Linked DNA regions of Canis lupus familiaris. The protein of the gene in region 3 binds, or shares a complex with, the protein of the main gene of each other region. Links are inferred from orthologs where the notes say so. Each region holds a gene or a part of one and is shown on either strand. Other genes may lie near its edges.

What was found.
Region 1: INTS1 (region 3) and INTS6 share a complex: the UniProt entries of both Homo sapiens proteins name them as parts of the integrator complex. The link is inferred for Canis lupus familiaris from reciprocal best matches to the Homo sapiens genes INTS1 and INTS6.
Region 2: INTS1 (region 3) and INTS12 share a complex: the UniProt entries of both Homo sapiens proteins name them as parts of the integrator complex. The link is inferred for Canis lupus familiaris from reciprocal best matches to the Homo sapiens genes INTS1 and INTS12.

What each region holds. Positions count from the first base shown.
Region 1 is NC_049243.1:595,062-598,705, reverse strand, and holds part of INTS6 (integrator complex subunit 6), read right to left. Parts: intron 2,788-3,644; coding exon 2,661-2,787; intron 1,932-2,660; coding exon 1,789-1,931; intron 1,590-1,788; coding exon 1,358-1,589; intron 1-1,357. UniProt on the Homo sapiens protein: Component of the integrator complex, a multiprotein complex that terminates RNA polymerase II (Pol II) transcription in the promoter-proximal region of genes.
Region 2 is NC_049253.1:13,347,359-13,351,657, forward strand, and holds the start of INTS12 (integrator complex subunit 12), read left to right. Parts: upstream 1-1,355; 5' UTR 1,356-1,489; exon of another isoform or gene 1,490-1,656; intron 1,657-4,299. UniProt on the Homo sapiens protein: Component of the integrator complex, a multiprotein complex that terminates RNA polymerase II (Pol II) transcription in the promoter-proximal region of genes.
Region 3 is NC_049227.1:15,594,767-15,598,850, reverse strand, and holds the start of INTS1 (integrator complex subunit 1), read right to left. Parts: upstream 2,808-4,084; 5' UTR 2,714-2,807; coding exon 2,656-2,713; intron 2,357-2,655; coding exon 2,066-2,356; intron 1,094-2,065; coding exon 897-1,093; intron 754-896; coding exon 616-753; intron 258-615; coding exon 98-257; intron 1-97. UniProt on the Homo sapiens protein: Component of the integrator complex, a multiprotein complex that terminates RNA polymerase II (Pol II) transcription in the promoter-proximal region of genes.

The DNA.
Region 1 (3,644 bases), on a different chromosome or scaffold from region 3:
TTAATTCACTAAGGGTTCCCCTAAATCCATTCTTATTCTTCCCAAACAATATTCCAAACAGTACAGTCGGCCTGTTTTTTATAAAATGCTAATCAGGTCAGGTCACTAGCTCTTCAAAATCTTTCAAAGATTCTCATTGTCAAGACACCTGCATGGCTCAGGGGTTTAGTACCAGCCTTCAGCCCAGGGTGTGACCCCGGGGTCCTGGGATTGAGTCTTGCATCGGGCTCCCCGCAGGGAGTCTCCTTCTCCCTCTTGTGTCTCTGCCTCTCTTTGTGTGTCTCATGAATAAATAAAATCTTAAAAAAAAAAAAAATTCTCGTCTTTAAAGTCTAGAATCTTTACGACGGCCTCCAAGGCCCTCCATGATCTGGCCTCAGCCTATCTTTCATTTCTCACCTTATCTGACTCTGAACACCTCTGCTAAACTGGAATTCTTTCAGTTCCTATAATCTTCTCTTTTGTATATTTGTTTGCACATATTTTTCTTATACTACTACTGTAGCATATTATAGTGCCTAGCATACTGCTTAGCACTACTACTAAATGCACAGCTTTAGTGAAACAATTCCCATTCACCCTTTAAATGTTGGCTTAAACATAACTTCCTCAGTAAAGGGTCTTGACCTCACAAACTAAGTTAAATCATCTTACCACCTTTTATAACATTCATCACATTCTAACTCAACATTCAATGACTATCTTTCCTCACTCATCATAAAGGCAGAGATCACTATTGTCTTGTTCACTATGATACCTCAATGCCTAGCACTGTTCATAATAGCACGTGTATTTAATAATTAGTTGATTGTTTTTTTTTTAAAGATTTTTTTTTTTTATTTACTCATGAGAGACACAGGGAGAGAAGCACAGACACAAGCAGAGGGAGAAGGAGACTCCCTGTGGGGAGCCTGATGTGACACTTGATCCCAGGACCCCAGGGTCACACCCTGAGACGCTCATCCACGGAGCCACTCAGGTGCCCCTAATTAGTTGTTGAATTAACCTGAAATTGAAAACCATCTTTCTGTGGGTATTGCTAATACCCCTTTAATAAGTGTTATTTTGAAATACTTAAGACTTGTAAACGGTATTTTGAATTTTTTATTTAACAGACTTATAAATGGTATTTAGATTATGGCTAGCTATAATAAAGCATGATAAACATAAGAAATGTCCAACAAATGTTCTTTAAAAAGACATACAAAATGATCACATGCTAATTTAAAATAAACAAGTATCTTCTCTAGACACTCTTGGGCTTTATCAATCAATTTCTTCCACAATCTATTACAAAAATCTCATCCCCACAAAAGAAACAAAAAGCAGCAAATAAAGTTTGTTTTTAAATTCTTACCTTTATGAAGAGGAAGGGGTTTAATAAGATCTGGCTGTGCTTGAGTCATCGGTACAGGTGGTCCTTTTCCTCCAATATGATTGTTCACAACTGGATTTTGTTGTCTGCCTCTTAGTAATGGGGACATACAGCGACGTCTTTTAGGGATTCCTTGCATATTTGGTTCTCCAGGTCGTTTATGTTTATTTTGAGGTCCAGCCACAAATTCATCTGCTTCATCTATCATCATACCCTGTAACAAAAAAATATATAATTTCCCTAGATTTACATACAGTTTTTAAATGGTACAACTAATTCCAATCCCCATTAGAGCAACTGTATTATAACTATGTTGACATTTATTAGTCTACCAAGAAAAGTAGCTTACTTTAGTTAAATTAAGAACTGTTAAATCCACAAATGAATTATACAATGGAACATTTCAAGTTTACCTTCTTATCTAGCTTAAAGGGGTTGCCAAATGTATGCAACCTTCGAGGCTGATCAGGATCAAGTTCTCTTAGTGGAGAAGGTACTTGCTTGAGGTATTCCTGGTAATTCCCCATTTGTGCTATAGGAACACTGTGCACTTGATCTTTTCAAACAGAAGAGAACAACAACAAAAGTTAACCTCACTATTCATATGTTGTCATTATAAATATTGTGACTAAAATGAAATCTTTTTGAGATTTTTTTAAAGTAAAATTTAAAAGAATTGACTTTATCTTCTAAAAGCAAAAATATTGTAGTCCATTTGAGTGTATAAAATAAGTAATGATGTGTTAACATTACCATGAATAGGAATGTCTCTTCTCTCTATTCCAAAGAAGTAGAATTATAGCAAAATTTACAGGAAAGACATACACAGAGATAATCCTTTTTATATAAAGCTATAGTTGGAATGCTTATATCAGAGATGGCAAAGAGTTAAATTCTCATCTGACTTGATTTGTACTACATGCTACAGATATTGTTGAAAGAAGAGGACACGTATTGACCATCCAAGCTAAACCACCAGATACTAACTAGTGTATCACAAGAAAATGATTTTGTGTGTGCATGTGAATGCATGAACTAAGCCAAAGAAAAGAAAGTAAGCTGCTAATAAAGATTGTCACCTCGGGGGAATAGAATTTGAGGCAACAGTGATGATAGAAAAAAAAGTTGAGAATCAGAGATGACTCCTTACTTCATTTGTTTGAATTTAAAAAGAAAATGTAATACTACTAATAATTCTTTAAAAGTTATATTCCCATACCATATTTTTTCAATATAAAGTAAGAAATTCACAAAAAAAATACCATTACTAAAACCATGATCTAACCTTCATCCTGTCCTTTAAGAAATCTGCGGGTGCTCTTCAAAAGATTAGATCTCATTCTTGTTAAGTGATCCAAAAGATTCCGCCTTGGTATGTCATATGCATTTCTAAATGTCTGTGGCTTCAAATCCTGTTGAAAATCATTCAAAGACAAAATTTATTTCCAACATAGAATTAAAAGAGACTAAAACCTCTAGCCTGCAGCATAGGTTTTGAAATAAGATATATTAAGTCTAATTAGCTTCAAAATAGAATAAAGAATTATGATGCCATCTAAACACACCTGGGAACCAGAAGATCAAAATTGGTAATGAGCTTAATCAAATACCTCAAATTCACATCTTTCAAGGTTTTATTATATATTCAGGCTAAGAGAAGTAAATAGCTTATAAAACAAATTTCCAAATTTTAAAACCTTTGAAAGTTTAAAGAAGAAACACAGCTTTGACGTATCATTCACGTACAATAAATTAACCCATTTTAAGTATACAGTTTGATGAATATCAGCAAACAGTTGTGAAACCATCACCACAATGCAGGTTAAGAACACTTCCATCATCCCCAAAAAGTTCTTGGTGCCCATCTGTAGTCAATCCCTTTTCCTATCCCCAGGCATCCACTAATCCTGCTTCCTGTCTCCCTACATTCCATTTTATAAGTGGAATTTTGCTATATCAAATCTTTTCTATCAGGCTTTTTTCACTAAGGATGATATTTTGAGATTCATCCAGGTTATTAATGCATCAGTAGTTTGTTCTTTTTGACTGCAGAGTAGTATTCCATTCTATGAACACAGTTTATCCATTTTCCAGTTTATGAAGTTTCCTTTCAGTTTTTGGCTATTATGAACACTGCTATGAACATTTGCATAAAAAGCCTTTCTATGGCTATTGTCTTCGTTTTTCTCATGTAGACAGATACACCTTGGAGTAAAACTGCTGGTTATATAGTAAGTATAGCCATTCTAGTGGATGGGAAGTGGGATCT
Region 2 (4,299 bases), on a different chromosome or scaffold from region 3:
CTCATCACAGATTTGTTTTTAAAGTTAGACCTCTTAAAATAAGGTCTTCAGGTAGAACTCAAACATGATTTCACGTTGTGAGTATGCCTTAAGGCAATCCTCTTAGTAGCGTATACTCCCCACCAGGCAGTTAAATTAAAAAAAAAAAAAAAACTCAACATGGCTTAAAGTTTGATTTATTAAATATGACAGCAAATCATTCAGTTGTATTTGTAAGAGAATTTATTTTCACAGTATTCAATGACCATGTTTACAAATCGCCACATTCTTGCCAGCTTTTTCATTTTTCTCTAATACTTTTTCTATAGGGAGGCTTGGAAAAAGAACTACGCTATTAAAAATCAATAACTTAGCACAAGATAGATTATCAAACGGTAACATTCAAGAATTTAGGACAAGAAATGGGATCCCGGGCTCAAGAATAAAGGGATTAAAAAACAAGTCACCTCATTCCAAACGAGGTGGAGTTGAGGCGGGAAATACGGGTGTTCGTGAACGTTTCCGAAACCGAAGCAATCTTTCATGCAAGTCAAACTTTCTACTCAAACTCGAACTTGTTTAAGACCGAACTGAAACGCTGCTTTGACAGTGTAAAAGAAAAACAGCCGCAAACGACGCAAGTCCTCTGGAGCAACTGTTCAGCAGTCCTCACGTACAACTGCTTTCTCTAACCGGGAAGGCACGGAATAAAATGCTAAGTGTCAAAGAGAGAGGGGGAAGGAAAAAAAAAAAAAAAAAGTTAAAGCGTGCCAAAAAGGTCTTAAAGCGACACTTAGCAGCAAACGGCAAACGACTCCACGGACTCCTGCAAAGAGAAGCTGCTCTAGTCCCCATCAGCAGAGGGAGCCACGGGGACTGGCCCTGGGAAACCTGGGAAGGGGCCCGGGGCCCTCCACCAGCTCCCTCAGAGGCTGTGACCGCCCAGGAGGGGCCCAGCGCTGGAGAAAGCTCGGGACACTCACTGCAAGCCCTTGCCTCTCCCGCCCCCCCGCCTCCTCCCCATCCCCGTCTCGCAGCATCAGCCGGGTCGCCTCCGGATGCAAAGAGCAGTCGCGGGGGGGGGGGGGGGGGGGTCAGGGGGACCGCGGAGTCCGCAGCCTGAGCTCCCTCCTTACCTGGTCGCAGAGGCGCGGCCAGGCAGGGAGGGTGCGTGAGTGTGTCAGCGACACGAGCCGCCTGCGCCTTCCCACCCCGCGTGAGTTTTCCGAGGCAGCTTCTGCGAGTCTTCGCCCACGGACCGCGGGCGGCCAGAGAGGCCGGGAAGGGGCACGCGGCAGGCACGCCGTCTTGGAAACAGCCGCGTCCGCCGTCATTCATAATCCGGCGGACCGGAAGCCGGGGTTACGTCACTTCCCGCCGTGGCACAGCCGAAAACTTCCCCCCTTCACGGCGCGGCAGGAACCTTTGTTTCCCCGTAGTCGGAGCCGGCGAGTTCCGGGAGCGGTTCGGAAGGGGCCCCCGGGAACGGACGGAGCAGCGGGGCGGAGCGGTGAGTTGTGACGAGCTCCCCGGCTCCCAGCCGCCTCTGGGAGGCTCGAGACCTCCGCGAGGGGCGAGGCGGGAGAGGAGCTTCGTGGGGTCTTAGTTCCCTGGCTGCTGAGGGGGCAGCGTCGTCACTGGCGGGCGGCCGCGCGCCCGGGCTGACTGCCCTCTCCCTGCGGCGGGGCGGGGGCGGGGGCGGGGGCGGGGGGTGGTGCCGAGCCTCCTCCTGCAGTGCTGTGGGCTGGGGCTCTCCGGCTCGGCTCGGCCCGGCCCGGCCCCGGGGACTGGTCCCTGCAGCCCGGTGCCCGACCTTCCCCGCAGGGTTTTGGCGACTTCTCTGGGCAGCTCCCTCCTTCCGCCTCGCCTGTCCTCTCGGACTTGCTCCTCGAAGACCTTCTCCCGTGCTAGGCCTGCGGTGTCCTGCTTTGATCAAAGGACTGACATCCCTTTTCTGAGCGTCTTCGGCCCCTTTTTTTTTTTTTTTTTTTTTTTTAAATTTTTATTTATTTATGATAGTTACAGAGAGAGAGAGAGAGAGGCAGAGACACAGGCAGAGGGAGAAGCAGGCTCCATGCACCGGGAGCCCGATGTGGGATTCGATCCCGGGTCTCCAGGATCACGCCCTGGGCCAAAGGCAGGCGCCAAACCGCTGCGCCACCAGGGATCCCATTCGGCCCCTTTTTTTCAGCTTCTCTTGTCACTCGGTTGGTTTGGAGTCGTGGTCCTTCCGTTTCCCCTGCGTTTCCAGACATGTCCCTAAGATATCAGTGTAACCCAGGGCCGAGAATTCAGTAGAGGACTGAAACGGGCAGCAGCTTTAAAAGATTTTTTTTTTAATCTTTTTTTTAAAAAAGGCTGTTTTTGCAAGAGCTTCCAAAGACATGAAAGGGCAAAGCTTGCTAGAGCTGGTAGGAGATGGCAACCCTAATATTGCACTCGGTGTGAATAGGTGGTTTCCTTTATCTTGTGTCCTTGCACGTGCAGATGATCAACTCTGGACTTTTTTTTTTTTTTTTTAGATTTTATTTATATATTCACACAGAGAGAGGCAGAGACACCGGCAGAGGGAGAAGCAGGCTCCCTGCGCGGAGCCCCATGCGGGGACTCCATCCCAGGACCCCCGGGGTCACAACCTGAGCCAAAGGCAGATGCTCAACCCCTGAGCCACGCAGGTGTCCCAACTCCGGACTGTTTTTTTAAAAAAAAAGATTAGCATGTAGAATGAGAAATTGGGGATTTGGGGAAAGCATTGTGAATATCCAGTTTCGGTGGGAAAGATCACAGAAGCCCCAGAAAGTGATTTTTAAATAAAACCTAGTTCATTCACTCAGTAAATATTTTTGAGAGGCTAAGTTTCGAACCCTAGATACATAACTGAATAAAATAAGTTTCTTGCCCTCATGAAGTTACAGTCCAGTGTAATTAATGAAGGTAAAGCCAGGTAAAGGATTGGGAAGAGAGTGAGTACTGCAGAGAGGAACATTGTACAAGTCTCTAGTCATCAAAGAGGTGACTTTTGTTTATGTTTCTTTTACTGTTGCTTTTTTGATGTTTGAGAGGTTTGGTGGAGGCGCAGGAGGTACAGGGAAGATGGGTTTGCGTTTCTTACTGCTCTTTGCAAAGGGACTTTGTAAATTGGTTAGAATTGTGTAGGAGGGAAAAGACCATTACACTTTACTTTGATCCCTAATAATTCTAATAGCTGTTATTTTATGGTACTTTGCAAGGTAGCCATGTGATAGTAAAAAAGAAATGTAGAATCTCCTCCCTTAAAGTACTCAATAGTTTTATAGGGAATATAACTCTTGTGCAAAACAACAACAAAAGTATGGCTCAAGGTAGAAAGTCCTAGTACCACCAGAAAGCAGTATGATGTATCCTGGGAGGGAGAGATTTTTAGTAGTGTTTGGGATGGATAAGGACACACCAGCAGTGAAGAATCCACATGAGAAATAATATTTGAACATAAAATTTAGACATCTAAAAAATGGGTAAAAAGCTTCCCGGACAGAGAAAAAATAAGCAGAGGTGTCAAGACAAGCGAATGGCTCTTCTGTATAAGAATTAAGTTTTTGTGCCAGTGAGAGTCTTTTCAGAATTGGGCTTTATTTTGAAGACAGTAGGAAGTTTTAATTTTTTTGAAGATTTTATTCATTCTTGAGAGACAAGAGAGACCTAGGCAGAGGGAGAAGCAGGTTTGCAAGGAGCCCAGTGTGGGACTTGATCTCAGATCGCGGGATCACGCCCTGAGCCAAAGACAGACACTCAACCACAGAGCCCCCTAGGCATCCCAGGAAGTTTTAATTTTTGAGGAAGAAAATGAAAAAGAAAGAAGAAATGTGTTTTGGGAACATGAGTATAGCTGTAGTGCTGAAGTCAAGGAGAATAGCTACATTACTGCTATACCACAAAACTTAAAAGACATGAATTGGAGTAGTAGCAGTGGAAGTGAAAAATGGAACAAATGTGAGGAATGTTGCAAAGTACCATAGGGAAGGCCTACTGATTTTTTGGTTATACAGAATAAGAGAGGATTTAGTGAGGGAAGGATTTAGGCCTCAGACTAGATTAGCAGAGAGTTGTGTCATTCATTGAAAAAGTACAGGACAAACTTTTGGGAGAAAGTATTCATAATCTCAATTTTAGCCATAACTGAATTTGAGATACCATTAGGGCAACCAGGTAGACATATCTACTAAGCAATTGGAAATGTGGGATTTGAGCCTAAGTGAGATTGGTGTGGTGATAAAAATGAAATCATCTGCCTAGAGATGGTAGTTAAAAACATGATCTATAGAAGATAACCAAGGAAGAAAT
Region 3 (4,084 bases):
CACCCCCAACAGCGGGCTCTGTGGAGGGAGACGACCCCAGCCCTTCCCTTAGGAACATTCTGTCCTCTCCCCAGCCCAGCCAGCTAGCGTCCCTTACCAGCACTGAGATCCCCGCCGCTGCGCCCCACCTCCCCCTGCAGAAGCATGCTCTTGGGAGGCATCTTGGTGTTAAATGCTGTCTGGATGTTGTCCACAAAGGTCTTGCAGTGCGGGCTGTCCACCCAGATCCGCTCCCCCAAGGAGTCTTCGATGTACACCTGCACGTGATAAAATCCATACTCCAGGCCCCTGCTGGGCAGTTCACTTCTGCCCACCCCTTCTGCTCCCAAGACAGATGCTTCCCCAAGTGTCTTCAGCTGCCTGGGGCAGCAGGGAGTAGGGAGGCGGCTCCCAGGCCGACCTCCCCGGCGACCAAGGCAAGAGACAGACGTACCAGGCTGTCACTGACCCCTGGGAGACCACAGAGGTGTGTGAGAACATGATCTCCAGATACACAGCCTCTGGATAGCACACTCAGGCAGGCTTCTTCTTCCTCCCGAGGGTCCAGCGCTCTGCCCCCATCACCCCAGGCAGTGCAGAGGCCCCAGGGGAGCCTCTCAGGAGAGGCAGACCCACCTTGACAAAGATCTCAGGCCAGTTCTCATCCTCCTCATACGCAGCCATGAGTAGATTACAGGCCAACACAGATACCAGACTGTTCCCCTTGGCCTTGAAGTTGATGGAGGCATCCCGCCGCAGGAGGCTGCACAGAGCCTGCAAAAGAGGGCACATCATCAGGGGGAGCAGTGCCCTGCACAAAGGGCAGAGCCAGCATGCTTCCAGGGGAGGGAAGGAGAGGGTGGGAGGGCGTGAGGAGAGAGCGAGAGCCTGTCTCACTCCACCCAGCCAGCCCTCACCTCAATGACACCCTCTGTGGCAAAGATGTTGGGCTTGATCTTGGCCAGATACATGAGGCTCAGGTACAGCGCGCCATCGGGCTTGGCACGGGTGGCCTTCAGCTGCTTCACCGCCCCACACAGCACGCCCTCGATCCGGCCGTCATTGCCCTCCAGCTCAGCAGCCTCGATCTCATCCAGCAGCACGGAGGGTGGCACTGGCAGATGCAGGAAGGGCATCGTTGTGGGGTGACCCGAAGCAGAACATGTCTTCAGGGGCCCCACCCCAATCGTCAGGGGGCAACCCCAAGCAACCTGCCTTCAGGACCCTCCCCGATTATTAGGGTGCAGCCCCAAGCAGAACCCGCCTTCAGGCCACCCCCCTGATTGTCAGGGGGCAACAGGGCAAACCAGCAGAGACCTAGTGAGTGAGGGTGTCAGGGCTATGCCATGGTTGCCCGCCTCCAAGGAGGACAACAGCCACAGCTGGGGAGGGAGCAGGGCAGGTAGTGCCCACCTCACAGGCCCGACCCAGCTGATGGCCATAGCAGGAACAGTACCCTCCAGCCTTGCAGGGGTTACTGAAGCGTAGAGAGGATAGCACTAAAACACAGAGCCCACATGAACAGGCTCTGGTCTCAGTTTCTGCCCATCCCCAGTATGGAAAACAGAGCCCGTCACATAGGAGGTGCTCAGCAAACACCCGAGATGAACCAGGTGGCAAACGAAAGAAGCAGTTCCTGGCGGCACTGCAGGAGCTCCCCCACGACGTGGGGGCAGGAAGAGCAAGGACAGACACCATCCGACCACCTCCCACCTCCCAGCCGTAGGACAGGATGCCTGTGCTTTGCGGGAAGACCAGGCTGCAGAGGCTCGCTGCACTCACTGCCCCTGTCAGCACCCGCTCCCATAGCACGTTCGGGCCCCACCGTCTGTGCCACGCTGCCTTGGGTCTCATTAATGCTTCCCTGTCTGTGATGGGATTTGGAAGCACACTCAGGATAGACGCCTGCGTCTTTGCAGAACAAACTCCCAGATGGACTCTGCTCAACCCTTCTCCAGGGAACCCACGGCCAGCTCAGCTCAGCTCTGGTGCTAGGCCTGGAGGCAGCCTTCACTGACCCCTGGGGAGACCACACAGCTGTGTGGGAACACGATCTCCACCACCTAAGCCCAGGGACTGACTCTACCTTCAATTGGGACCACAGATGGCTCTTTAATGGACGGAGAGATAGCACGCTTTTCTGCCACAGCAGCCTCAGCCAGGCGCCCCAGGGCACTCAGCGGGGGCGTGGAGGAGAGCTTGGGGCGCTTGGTGAGGCCGGTCAGGGCCGAGGCACCCGCCAAGGCGGCTGCAGCGTCCCGCTTGCGCTCGGAAGGCAGGCCGGAAGGGGCAGGCTTCAGCAGAGTGGACGCCGTTTTGGATTCATTGGCCTGACCCTTGGAGCCCAGAGCAATGAAGTCTCCCGGTGGAGGGTGCCCTGCAGAGAGGGGAGGTGGAGAAACGTGCACCTTACACCATGGCGGGGGTGGTGGTGGGGCCGGGCTGCACCCCCAGCCCCCGCTGTCTGGAGGGGGCCAGACAAGGGTCATCAGGGCACAGCTGGGTCTCCTGCCGGCTCGCTGCAGGCCGGCCTCCCCACCTTGTAGCTGCGGGTCCACCCACTCCTCCACAGCTCACGTTGCAGAGGAAGGACCCGAGGCACAGGGAGTCCAGCCCGCCGGCCTCGGGCGTGCCGTGACCCGGAGGCCGCCCGCCCCGGGTGCCCAGGCCGCACACCTGACGGCTTGGCCGCCGCGCTGGGCCTGCGCACGGTCGCGGGCTTGGCCCGGTTCATCCTGTCCCCCGTCCCGCGCCGCCGCCGCCGCCGCCGCGCTGTCACCGAGGGGAAGGCCGGCGCCGGGTCCGCCGTCCCCCCGCCGGCTCATTCATTCATTCGTCCCGGGGCCGTCAGCGCTGCGGCCCGGGACCTGCGGCGGAAGGGGCCGCGCCGCCCTGCCCCGCCGAGCCACTCGAGGGGGCCGCGCGAACCCCGCCTCCGATCGGCCGGGCAGGGGTCGCTGTCGCCGCCAGCCGCGGCCCGCGCACCACAGTCCTACACCCCCAGTGCCGAGCCGCGGCCACGGCCGTCCCGGAACCGGAAGTCGCCTCCACCACCCTCGGCACCCCAACTTCCGGAACAACAGGAAGCAAAACAGCGCGGCCGGGGTAGCGAGGCAAGAGGGTCCGCGACGTCTGAACGGTGCCTGCGGCGCCCTCTGGCGGCGGGAGGCCGGCGGGGCGCCGCTGCCCGGATCCGTCTTGCACCTGCTCTCGGCAGGGGAGGTGTCGTCACTTAGTGACGCGCCCGAGGACACGCGATAGGGGAAGAGGGGGCACGAGGATTCTGGTCCAGATGTGCTGCGTCTTCAGGGTCCTGCTGTCCCATTGAGCTGTCGAAGGGCAGGTTCTGGGGTTCCTGCGGTGGAGCAGGAGGAGGGAGCTAGGGAGGGCTGGGGGTGGGCAGGGCCCTCATCACAACCGGCTGGGGGGCATCAATCAGCCCAGACTCAGTTTGCTCGACTGCACAGTGGGGCTGTGCAACCTGTCTCAGTCCCTTTGGCGGAAGAGTGAGGGCTCCGTGGCGACAGGGAACCCCACACCCTCCTCCTCTCTGGGGTTTCCGGGCGTCCTGGGGTTTCTGGCTGGGGATCCGGGCGTCCTGGGGATCCCACCCCGCACCAGGAACAAGGCCCAGAGCAACTGCCTGGGTTTCTGCCTGCAGCCCCGCACCAGCCAGCCGGGTGCCTTCCTTCATGGAGCAGTCGGCCGGCAGGAAGGGGCAGGCCATGCACGCGAACACTGAGCTCGAGGCCCCTGCCAGATGGCGAGCTTCAGGGAGGCAGCGGTCAGCGGATAGGGACCCGACTCCGCCTTGCCCGCGGGCATGGCAGGGCTGAGCTTCAGAGGAGAAGCAGGGTGTGGGGGCCAGGGAAGACCCGCGAAAGGCACTCGTGGCATGGCTGCATGGCCAGCTGTGTCCGTGGACTGGCGGTGACCAGAGAGCAGATACGGGGCCCAGCGTCCTGTTGGAATAGCTGTGGGTCCCAGTGTGTGTCCCAAAGGGACGCAGCAGGACTAACTATTGCAGGCGCTTTCCTGAACGTTCTAAGGAAGGGGACAGGGGCCTCACTGGCCCTGCCTGTGGTCCCTCTGTCAGTGGTAGGAC